Linked DNA regions of Rhinolophus ferrumequinum. The protein of the gene in region 2 interacts with the protein of the main gene of each other region in a pairwise test. Links are inferred from orthologs where the notes say so. Each region holds a gene or a part of one and is shown on either strand. Other genes may lie near its edges.

Evidence for each region.
Region 1: the proteins of FAM168A (region 2) and UBASH3B interact in binary tests that used the Homo sapiens proteins (3 or more experiments, as listed by UniProt). The two-hybrid records come from large-scale screens. The link is inferred for Rhinolophus ferrumequinum from reciprocal best matches to the Homo sapiens genes FAM168A and UBASH3B.
Region 3: the proteins of FAM168A (region 2) and SS18L1 interact in binary tests that used the Homo sapiens proteins (3 or more experiments, as listed by UniProt). The two-hybrid records come from large-scale screens. The link is inferred for Rhinolophus ferrumequinum from reciprocal best matches to the Homo sapiens genes FAM168A and SS18L1.

The regions. Positions count from the first base shown.
Region 1 is NC_046308.1:37,595,406-37,599,149, reverse strand, and holds the start of UBASH3B (ubiquitin-associated and SH3 domain-containing protein B), read left to right. Parts: upstream 1-774; 5' UTR 775-1,104; coding exon 1,105-1,265; exon of another isoform or gene 1,266-1,401; coding exon of another isoform or gene 1,402-1,502; intron 1,503-3,744. UniProt on the Homo sapiens protein: Interferes with CBL-mediated down-regulation and degradation of receptor-type tyrosine kinases. Promotes accumulation of activated target receptors, such as T-cell receptors and EGFR, on the cell surface.
Region 2 is NC_046294.1:48,816,316-48,820,059, reverse strand, and holds the start of FAM168A (protein FAM168A), read left to right. Parts: upstream 1-1,283; 5' UTR 1,284-1,525; intron 1,526-3,744.
Region 3 is NC_046306.1:1,343,849-1,347,592, forward strand, and holds the start of SS18L1 (calcium-responsive transactivator), read right to left. Parts: upstream 3,010-3,744; 5' UTR 2,822-3,009; coding exon 2,753-2,821; intron 1,897-2,752; exon of another isoform or gene 1,826-1,896; intron 997-1,825; exon of another isoform or gene 852-996; intron 1-851. Other genes in the region: PSMA7 (proteasome subunit alpha type-7), read left to right, coding at 3,307-3,402. UniProt on the Homo sapiens protein: Transcriptional activator which is required for calcium-dependent dendritic growth and branching in cortical neurons. Recruits CREB-binding protein (CREBBP) to nuclear bodies.

The DNA.
Region 1 (3,744 bases), on a different chromosome or scaffold from region 2:
TCTGGGCTAGGAGGATTAAGCTGTACCATTTCCCCTGGTAAAATGTTTAGATGCCTTATAAAGCAACACCAAAATCAACAGCATCTTACAGTTAGAGAGCGTGCTTTCTCCGTTCCTTCTCCCTCCACCTTCCTTCTACTTCCCACGTCCTGTCTCTCCTCCTCCTTCCTCCTTTCATCTTCTTTTCTCTTCCTCTTTCTGCCCTGTCCTGTCCCTCTTTTTCCTCTCTCCAACCAGAACTGAGAGCCTGAGGTCCTACTCTTTACCCTGACGTCACTATCTTATTCATGGAGAGCATGTTATGTTTTCAGTATGGCCACTTGTCGGGCTGATAGAATTGGTCTTCAACGGCCATAACAATCCTCTAGGTTTTGCAGAGTCTGTTGAAAGCAAAACCTTTTATCTGGGCCTTCTGTCTTGGCCCTGTAGCTCATTAATGTCATCCATTGGTTCTCTCAGTTTCCGTTATTAACCCCATCTAGAAGGACTTGAAACTTGCATTGATTGATCTGGTGTCTTGAGGCCCATCTGGCCCTATATGCAAGGCATGGAGAAGGTAGGGGCGCTGGGAACAACTCTCGGATCCCAACGCACAAGCAGCCTACGCTGGTTCCAATTTTCCATCTAGAAGCACCGGACTCTACAGCCTGTGCGCTGCCTCCAGCAGCCTCCGGCGGCGCGGCAGCTTTAAGAGAGGGGCGGGGCCCGGGCACAGGCAAGGCAGGGCCAACCCACAAGGTTCCTTTTCCTTTTTGATCCATTCAAAAATTACTCATTGCAAATTCCCGGACTGCTGGGAGAAGAGAAGGAAGGAGGCGGAGGAGCGAAGCTGCTGCAGACGCCGCGCTGGGGGCACCCGGAGGCCCGAGTAGCCGAATTGCTGGCCGGGCCGAAGCTGCTGGCGGGCCGTTCTGGCTTCGGTGGCCTCACCAGGAAGCGTCAGAATCTCGACACCCGGGAAGCTCTGCGCCGCCTCCGCCCTCTCCGCCGCCTCCCGCCCGGCTTTCGGCCCGGAGCCCCCTGCCCTACCGTAGTCTAGCTCCCTCCTCCCTCCGGGACGATCCGACTCGAGCATCTTCCCCGGCGATGGCTGGCCTCTGAGCCATGGCTCAGTACGGCCACCCCACCCCGCTTGGCATGGCCGCGAGAGAAGAGCTGTACAGCAAAGTCACCCCGCGGAGGAACCGCCAGCAGCGCCCCGGCACCATCAAGCATGGATCGGCGCTGGACGTGCTCTTGTCCATGGGCTTCCCCAGAGCCCGCGCGTAAGTAGCCGGGCTTGCAGCCCTTGCGACCCCTCCCGTCCCAAGCGGCAGACCCTCGGCTTCGCTCCAGCTCGCCTCCCGGCGCCTGCGGGACGGGCGGCGCGCTCCCCGCTGCCCACGTCCTGTTGAGGGCAGGATGGGCGCGCAGGAGCCCGGCTCTCATCTCCTCCCCACCGGGGTGCAGGGGAAGATGCCGCGCGGGAGCGCTGTACGGGGGACTTGCTGGGAATGCCTAAGGTGAGGCATGTCTCAAGGAGACGGCACCTGGTTCGAGTCCCGGGAACCGTTCCCAGCGTCCGGCCTCCGCGGGTGGGGCTAAGCTGTTGTCCGCTAACCGCGGAGCCCCTGGGGAGGCGGGGCCCCATTGGGGATTTAGGTATCCTCTTGATCCGGAACGCAGGGCTAGCTTAGGATCCTCTTGATGGCTGCGAGACGGTAAGGGACCAGCGGGGCAGTGAGGCCGGCGCTCCCACTGCAGCGGCTTCCAGGTCCGGATGCTGCTCTCTGGTTGGGTCTCTCACCGGAGTAGGAGGAGCGGGATCGTGGGTGTTGCTGCGTGTTCATTGATCGGGAGGAAGGAATAAGGAAAGCAGTTCTTTCAGGGGACCTGAGTTCTTGTCAGTGGTGATGGCAGCGCAGAAATCTGTGGGTGCCTGAGAATAAGGGGGGGGGGGAGCTGTCCTCCAACATCCTTCTTCCCCAAGGAGGGTTGAGTAGGGAAAGGCAGAGAAAGCGCAGGTGGCTGCCCCTGCTGCCTGCTGCGAAGAGGCCTGATCCCAGCACAAGGCAGCAGCAGTAGCAGCAGGGGGCTTCTGAAGCTGGGCATCCAAGATTGTGGGGCCGGAACCCTGCCTAGAAGGAAGCCAAGGCCCAAAGGTCAGGCCCTTCTCCCTTGGTTGCTTACAAATTTCTTAGGTGGGAACAGACAGCCTGGGATCCCGTGGGGTGCTGCTTCTTTGAATTACATCACCTGGAGTGGGAGGTGGGGGAAACTTTATTAGGAAGGGCCAAGTTAATGAAACTTTTTTTTCTCCCCCGCCCCCTTCCAATTTTCAGATGATAACTCTAGGTTTCCCTTCCAGGGCCTCTGGGCAAACCTTGATTTTTCTTTACTAACCTGGCTGTAACCTCTTAATCAAAGCAGACCTCTGATTTTATCATTCTACCAAGCCTGCTGGGTCAGGTTGGCGTGGCCTTGGAAGGCCATAATATGGACTGATGTTTCTGTCTCCCACTGGCTTCCAAGCACAGGGGCTTCAGTTCCTGATGCCAGAGTTGCAGGGAGCAGTTGTGGTGGGCTCTGCAGGGGTGTGTCAGGTGTGGATGCTGCAAGTTAGGTCCTTCCTATGGATGATGGCTGCACATAGCCTATGGATGATGACTGAGCATAGCTCTCCTTACGAATGGTAGATAGGGGCCTGGAAGTCTGTTGGGCGATGCTGCAGAATTAGCACAGTCCCAGGCATTTTCCCTTTATGAAATGAGGCCAGTGTAAGGAACTATTAGGTTGGTGCAAAAGTAATTGCGGTTTTTGCATTTATTTTTAACCTTTTAAACTGCAATTACTTTTGCACCAACCTAATAAATTGCTTAATTAAGGGAAGAAATACTTAACTCCTCAGACCATCATGTTTGCTATTCAAACTGGCTTTAAAGGGACATCTTTTTCCTGCACTTGTCCATGTCCTGATAGATTAGGATGAGGGTCTAATTTTGGCTTGTTCAACCACTGAGATCTCATTACAACTAGCATTTGCTGATCACTTACTATGCACTGTTCTAAGCACTTTACCTACTATCTATTTTATCCTCCTAGCAACCAAACAAGAAAAGTATTTATGTGCCCATTTTATGAATTGGGAAACAAAGGTTTAGAGAGATTATGCAACTGCTCAGGGTCACAATAGGAAGCAGTGAATGTGGGATTCAAACCCAGTCAGTGCGCCTGCTCAGCTCAGGCCTCATATCCATGGCTGGAATGTAATGCATCAACGTGGGTAACATGTTAGTGCAATGCCCGGCACATAGTGGGCACTCATTAGGTGTTAGCTATTATGTTAGTTTCTGCGGCTGCTGTAACAAGAAACCACAAACTGGGTGGCTTAAGCAACAGAAATTTATTCTCATACTGTTCTGGAGCCCAGGAGCCCCAAATCAGTGTCACTGGGCTGAAATCAAGGCGACAACAGGGCTATGCTCCCTCTGGAGGTTCTAGGAGAGAATGCATTTTTTGCCTCTTAGAGCTCCTGGTGGCTCCTGGCATTCTTTGGCTTGTGACTGCATCACTCCAATTTCTGCCTCCATGGTCACATTACCTTCTCTTCTGTGTCAAATCTCCTTCTGTGTCTTCTGTAAAGACATTTGTGATTGCGTTTAGTGCCTCCCCGGGTAATTCAAGATAACCTTCCCATCTCAAGATCCTTAATTATATCTGCAAAATCATTTTTATTTTATTTTTTTGCCATAAGGTAATGTTCAC
Region 2 (3,744 bases):
TCACAAGAAAAGCCAGACAGGCAGAGTCCTGGAGCTTCACTGAGGGCAACAGGAAGCCATAGAAAGCTTTTAGGCAGCAAGGAGAGGTTGTTGGATTTGGAAATTGTGTTTTTGGAATTAGTCTTATAGCTTAAAAATTATGTGCTCCCTTTAAACAATTCAGCCACTATGAAAATAAAAATTACTTGAAACCCTTTCCTCCAAGATAATCACTGATAATATTTTGGGGAAGCTCTTTCCTGAAATCTATGATTATAGAATATTATCTCAAATTTCACCTGAGTTGGACCATTCTAAACATGCTATTCTGTAATCAATATTTTTCCTTTGAGAATAAAATGTGAATAGCTTTTCATGTCAGTAAATAGATCTATATCATTATTTTAAATGGCTGTTCAGTACTGCATTGTTTATATACATAATTGAATTAGCCCGGTGATGGACATTTACGTGTTTTCCTTCTATAGTCAAGAACCTCATGTAACAACCTTGTATTCATCTTTTCCAAATTGTCGGATTATCTTTTTAAGGTGAATTCTTAAAAGTAATAGAGCTGGGTCAAGAATTATGCCCTTTTTACAGTTGGATTCAAGTTGCCAAATCGTCTTCAGATTTGCAGGACGACCAGGAGGAAGCTGCTGCCTTAGTTCTAGCGTGAGACTGTCGTAACTGGGATGGCGAAGAAAGTACAGTCTCACAGGTGATGTAGCTCATTTAGGCCTCTCTTCGGTGGGTTGGCAAATTCCTTCCCTTTTCCCTTTGCTTCACTTCTTTTTCTTAACATGGAGGCAGAACTGAGAACTGCATCTCCCAGCATATTGCAGGGACCACAGTCCCTGGGAATTGTAGTACCGGGCCTGAGAAGGGCCCGGAAGGAGGGCAGGAGACTTTGGGGGCATGCTGGGAAATGTAGTCCAGCGAGCGTCGGTAGCGGTGGGGGGGGCATTGTGTGCGCGCGCCCGGGTAAAGAGGTTGGAGATGCTGAGAACATCGCTACCTGGGGATAATGGAGCCGCGTGGGTGACCTAACTTCCTTCACATGTGGTCTTTGAGTCTACAAAACCGCCCGCGGATGGTTGACTTTATTCCATTGTCCATGACCGGGGAGGGCACCGCCCCACCGCACTGGGCGCGCGGCAGGAGCCGCAGGCCGCGCGCGGGTCGGAGCGGGGCATGCCGGGAGTTGTGGTCCCGGCAAGCTGAGGCTGTGGGACGTGTCGCGGCGCTGCGCCGGCTCCTCCTTCCCCGTCCTTATAGGTCCCCCGCCCCTTCCCTTCGCCTCCTCCTCCCTCGCCCGCAGCCGAACGTCCCCTCCCCCCATCCGTCGGGCTTCTCGGCGGCTACTGCAGAGGATTCAGAGCCGAGTCGCTGAGGAGGAGGAGGATCCCGGTCCCTGCGCGCCATCCGCCACCTTACTGGACACGGGCGAGGGAGCGAGAGCGTCGCCTCTGTACCCTCTAGAGAAGACAAGGGCATCGCCACCTCAGCCACCGCCGTCGCCGTTTTCGCCTGCAGCGGCTCTCCGGTGAGCAGACCCCCCCCCCACCGCCCCCTGGTCCGCTCGCCCTGAGCCTGGGCCGGTGGTACCGGGGAGAATGAGAGTGGAGGCTGCGTGAGCGCGGGTTGGGGGAAGGGGGTTGAGGTCGCGATGGAATGGCAGGCTGGGAGGGGAGACTTGTCCAGGCGCGGGCTGGGGGTGGGGTGAGGGTGGGACCCGAGCAGGTTGGGGGGCCACAGGAGAAGGGGACTTTTAATGGGGAATAACCGGACCTGGGACAGGAACGTGGGTTCGGGGGGCTGGGGTGGAATTTGGGATGGTTTAGGGGCGAGCTGGATGATGAGACTGGAGTGGGATGGCTTTTAATGGGGGAGGGGATTGAATGAGGGTGGTGGATTTGGGGTTGGCCTGGAGCAGTTGACAGTTTGGGATCCGAGCTGGGGTGCGGGGTAAGGAGATCATTTCAATAGAGAGTGGGATTGCAGGGTTGGATAGGACCCTGGCGCGGGGGGGGGGGATTGTTAATTCAGGAGGTTGGAACTGGGGGTGGACCTAGGGCAGGCTAATAGAGGTGGTGGAAGCTGGGGGTGGGGGGCTTGGCGTGGGTTGAGACCTGAGCTTGAAGTAGGCGTTTGCCATCTCAGGGTGGTGGAATTTGTGGAGACTTACGGAATCGCGTGGGTTAGAAGAGCAGAGGAGGTAGAATTTGGGGTGTTCCTGGGGAGCTGGTGGGAGTGGGACTTTCAATGAGGGGAGTGTAATGGTGACCTGGCAGGAGCGGGGTAAATTAGAAATTAGGCCCAAAATGGGCGGACAAGGATTGAAATTGGGCGGAAGGCGGAGGGGGGTGCACAGTAGGATGGGATTTCGGGTGATCTTAGAACCACTGGAAGGGGCATTGGTGGCTCTCTGGGTGCAGGGTTAAGGCAGAGGGCACAGAAGTCACCGCTGAGCTCGATTCACTGAAAGAAGAGTGGCAGGTGGTGAGCAATGTTGGGGGATGGTGTCTTGAAGAAAATGTCCCCTGGTCAAGGTGGCAGAGGGAGTTTTGGAGAAGGAATGTCTGAGAAGAACTGGTAGGACTGGCGAGATGGTTGCTAATGGGGAGGTGCAGAGGGGTTCTTTACGGAGTGGGAGACATCGGGTTGGTGTGGACGGGCAGGGAGGCTGTGGAGGGGGCAGGAGCAATGCTGGGAAGACGCAGGGGAAGGATTTGGATGGCCTTCAACAGGCAGAAGCAGGTGAAGGGCTGGACTTAAATGGACAGCTTTGGAGGCTGTGGTCGGGGGAAGACAGTAATCACAGGGACTTTGCAGGGGACAGAGAAGGTACATGAAAGACTCCCAGAGGACGTGGTAAGCTGTTAGTTTCATCTTTTTGTTGCATGTATATTAGTATTATATTTGGAAGTAAATCAACCCAAAGGGGAAAGTTGAGAGAGGCTTCAGTTAAGGTAGAATGAAGGAGGGGAGCATGTCTTCTGTTACAGACACACCTTGGAGGTACTGCAGGTTTGGGTCCAGACCATCACAATAAAGTGAGTGTTACCATCACGTGAGTTGTGTGCTTCTTGCTGGTGGAGGGTCTTGCCTTCGATTTGTAAAAACTGCAACATTCGTATAAATCTGCAACATTCGTATAGCGCAACAAAGCAAAGCACAATAAAAGGAGGTATGCTTGTATTGATATAAAAACAAAGTTTGGAGAGAAAAGCCCACTCCCAAACTAAAGGTGGAGAAGATGAAACTGGAATGTGATAGATGTCTTTCTATATGATGTCTCTGCGTCTTTTCTGCCTTCCCCTTGGTGCATTTAAAAATTAGTCCTGGAATTTAGAATTCAATAGATTTGATGAGCTTGAGGTAGCAAAGGGAGCGTTCCTTGCTTGAGAACTGATGAATGAGACTGAAAAATATAAAGCTGAATTCATCTTCTAGTCAGGCAGCGTGCATGTATGCAGAAAGAGCTTGGGCCTTTTTTTTTCTCCTCTAAAAATTGATTGCTTGAAGGCTCCATTTATTGGTGTCCTGGTTTGCAAGGCAATTAGGCCCATCATTGTATTGCAGGCTAACAATCCTGAGATGAATCTTGGCACCACCGCTTTAAGTAAACAGAGGGAAGACAGGAAATATGGAAATATCATAAATATTCATTGGTAAGATGGTTTTGGTATTGGTGGAGTTTTTCATTTGATTCTCTTCTGACATTACTTGATGAGATTTAAAAGAATCGGACTATATTTCTAT
Region 3 (3,744 bases), on a different chromosome or scaffold from region 2:
TTTAGTTGCAGGGGCACAGCCCACCATCCCATGCGGGAATTGAACCTGCAACCTTGTTGTTGACAGCTCAACTGAGCCATCCGGCCGCCCCAAGTTTCTGCTGTTTTAAACCACCCAGCTTGTGGTCATCTGTTATGGCAGCCACAGGAAATGGATACACCCTACCTATCCCAAACACTTCCCCTGACAGAACCAGGATCACAGATGCTCCTGTGTGTACTGGGCACTGACTGTGCCAGGCATCGTGCCAGGCTGGGACACAGCAAAGAATAAGTCGCTGACACGCAAACTCGGAAGCCCAAGCAACGTGCCAAAGTGCTGCACTCAGCACACGACTGCCAAGGGACCAAGGGAAGGGACATTTGAGTGGGGCCTTGACGGCTGAGTAGGAGGTTTGCCTGGCAGAATCCTACCCAGACATGCTCCAAGGACAAGTTGTATACTTCCTGCTCTCTCATTAAGGAGCAGGCGTCTGGAAAACCCTGTCTTTTCTCAATGCTCTGAGCATGAGCAGCTGCTGTGGACACAGCTCACACGAGTGCGGGACATGCACCTCTCACCCCCTTCTCAGCCTGCCAGTAGAAGAGCCCTGGATACATAAATTCACTGTCAAAATACAAAGGCCTGGGCAGCAGGTTAGCTCAGTTGGTTAGAGCCCCAGGCTCTTAACAACAAGGTTGCCAGTTCCATCCCCACATGGGCCACTGTGAGCTCCGCCCTCTACAACTAGATTGAAACAACTACTTGACTTGAAACTGATGGGTCCTGGAAAAACACAAATAAAACTTAAAATAATAATAATAATATTAATTTAAAAAAAAAAAACAAAAAAAAAAAACACCAAGGCCTACCAGGTCAAATCAGATGACAGCTTAAACGGAAGCCCGATTTCCAATGGTCAGTCAACAGGCTGATTTTCTGCCGGGGGATGCAGTCAGCAGGTTTCCTTCTTTCTGATCTGAAGTTCAGGAGTGGTGCTCTAACACACACTTTTGCCTGGAGAATTTGGGAAGCTTTAATACGGGGTGAGTACAAAGTACAAATAACTGGATGAGTACTGAAGTCAAAGGTGGCGTCAGGAACAGGGACTGTGCTCATCACGCTTAAACTCCAAAAGCCAGGGTGCCCGGAGACCCCTGGGATTGCTAACATGCACCTCTGCCTCGCCAAGTGTCCTCACATCAAGTGTCACAGTCGGGGCTGACCCTGGAGCCGCTCATTGCCTGGGTTTGACTCCTGGTCTACCACTAACCAGCAGGCACTTAGCCTCCTTCTGCCTCAGTTTCCTCATCTATGAAATGGGGGCGACAATAACTACCACGAGGAATAAAATGAGTTATGATTTGCAAAGCCCTTATAACAGTACCTGGTGTGCAGTAAGCGCCACATAAGTGCTGACAAATAAAAATGCCCCACTTTTAAGCGCATTTCTGCTGTTTTTTCAACTGGCCTCTTTCCTGTTTGGTTTCCTGAGACTCCTCACGGGTCAAAACCAGCCACAGCAAAGGTAGTCGAGGAACAGACAAGGTCCCCAAGGTCTGGCGTCATCAGGGTGAATATCACCTTGGAAGGTAAGAGGCTGAGGGAACCAAGGAATACTGCTGCAACCCCCACGAATCCCAAAGTTAGAAAGAAATCAACACAGCCACCAAAATAGTTTAGAAGATTCAAACGGAAAGGCTAACATCATTTTTCCTCTGAACTTGTCATCTAAAGAGAAACAGCAGAAAATTTAAAATCCCAACTTCAAATCTTACGAGTTTTGTTAAAGGGGCCCCAAACCTACATAAACGTTATCTCTAGAAAACCATAAGGCCAAACTTACAGAACGTGAGGACAGGCTGTAAAGCAAACCTGCAATGTTTCTATTAGGCGGAGGCTTGCCCAGGTGTCACGCTGAAAAACAATTTGACAGGCGCATAAGAGCGGCTGAAGCTTGGCCAGCAGGTCGACCCCGAGGTGTCGCCCGCTCCTCCAAGGGCTGCGGCACGCTGGAACGGCGTCGCACACTCGAGACGCGCCCCTTTGTGCCTCCGAGTGCCAGCACCTTAGTGAGGGACGGGCGTAGCCGGCTGCTGGGCCAGGTCCCCGTCGCCCCGTGCGCTCCCTCCACTCGCTAAGCTGTGCGCAGGGGCTAGTGGCCACCCGCCGCGTTGCGCCACTGTCTTCGCCAGCCAGGCGGGTCCCCCCTGCGCCCTGCGCGGCCCAGAGCTATTCCCAGCGTGGCTCCGCGAACTCCATGCCGCGCAGGCCACTCTACCGACACCATCCCGGGAGAGCTCGGCCCCGCTGCCCTGCACCCTGCCCGCGGCGCAGGGACCTTGAAAGCGGTGGGTCCCCACCATGTCCGGCGCGGCCTGGCGCTGTTCCCGGCTTGGCCCCACGGACCCCACCCCGCGGACACCATCCCGAGGGCTCCAGTCCCCACCGTCCTGCGCCCTTGCCCCGCGGCCGCCGCGCGCCCCCTACCCCGAAGGCGGCGAGTCCCCACTGCGCCGGCTTGGCCCAGGGACACCACCCCACCGACACATTCCCGAGGGCGCCCAGCCCCGCCGCCCTGCGCCCCTGCTCGAGGCCCCCGCCCAAGTTGGCGCATGCTAGCGGCGGGGCGCTCTTGTGGCCCCGCGGGGTCGCGGCCGTCGGCTGCGCCCCGGCTTTGTTCGAGCCCCGCGCCCGCCGGCTGCCCGCGCCCCGGCTCCGCGCGCGCCCGCCGGTACCCCGCGCCACCCCCAGCCCGTGGGCCCCTGCCCACCTTCTGGATGGTTTGCTGCGTGACCTCCCCTTTGCCTCTCGGCCGGGCGGACGCGAAGGCCACCGACATGGTCGCGGCGCCGGCTCAGCACGAGATCATCGGGGTTTCTTCTCCGGCTGCGCTCGGCTGCCGGAGGAGCTCATTCTCCGCAGTCGCAGGGGGGCGGGGGCCGCGGGGGTGTCCCGCCGTGGGCCCGCCCGCCCCGCAGCCGCCGCCGAAGGCCTCCGGGCCCACCGCCCCGCCGCCCTGTGCACTGGAGGCCCTCGAGGCCCAGCCTCGCGCGGACACCCCAGGCGGCCGCCCCGCGCCCCGCGTCCGGCCCGCGGCCGCGGCTCCGCCCCCCGCGCCCGGCCGCCGGTGGTTCAGCCCGGCCCCGCCCCAGCGCGCGCTCACGTCCTCCCGACACCGCCGCTGCCGCCTGACGCCGCCTTACGCCCTCAGCGCAGTGGGCGGTGCCCGGGGGCGGGCGCGGCGCGGGCGCGGCGACGTCGAGTCTCTGTCGGTCCGGCGGTGAGTGTGCGCTTTTCCCTGTACCGGTTGCGCTTCTCGCCGGCATGAGCTACGACCGCGCCATCACGGTCTTCTCGCCTGACGGCCACCTTTTCCAAGTGGAGTACGCGCAGGAGGCCGTGAAGAAAGGCTCGACTGCGGTGAGCGGCGGGCCGGGCCGGGCCGGAAGCGGGGCGGGCGTGCGGGCGCTGCTGGGGCGCGGGCAGCAGGCCGGGCTCGGCCGTGGGAGCGGGGGAGACCCCAGGACGCGGAGGCAAGCCTAGGAACCCGCGAGGCCCGGCCTGGCCGCGTTGCTAGGGCGCGGGGAGGCCTCGGCGTGCGGGGGCGCCCCGAAACGTGCGGGCGTGCGCGAGCGGGCGTGGGCCGGGCGCGGCTGGGGACAGGAGGTGGCTCTGGGGAGGAGCGCGTCCCTCTCCGTCGCGAGGCCTGGGCCGCGGCGTCTGCAGCCCGCCGTGTGGGGCCCGGCGGCGTCTCGCTACCAG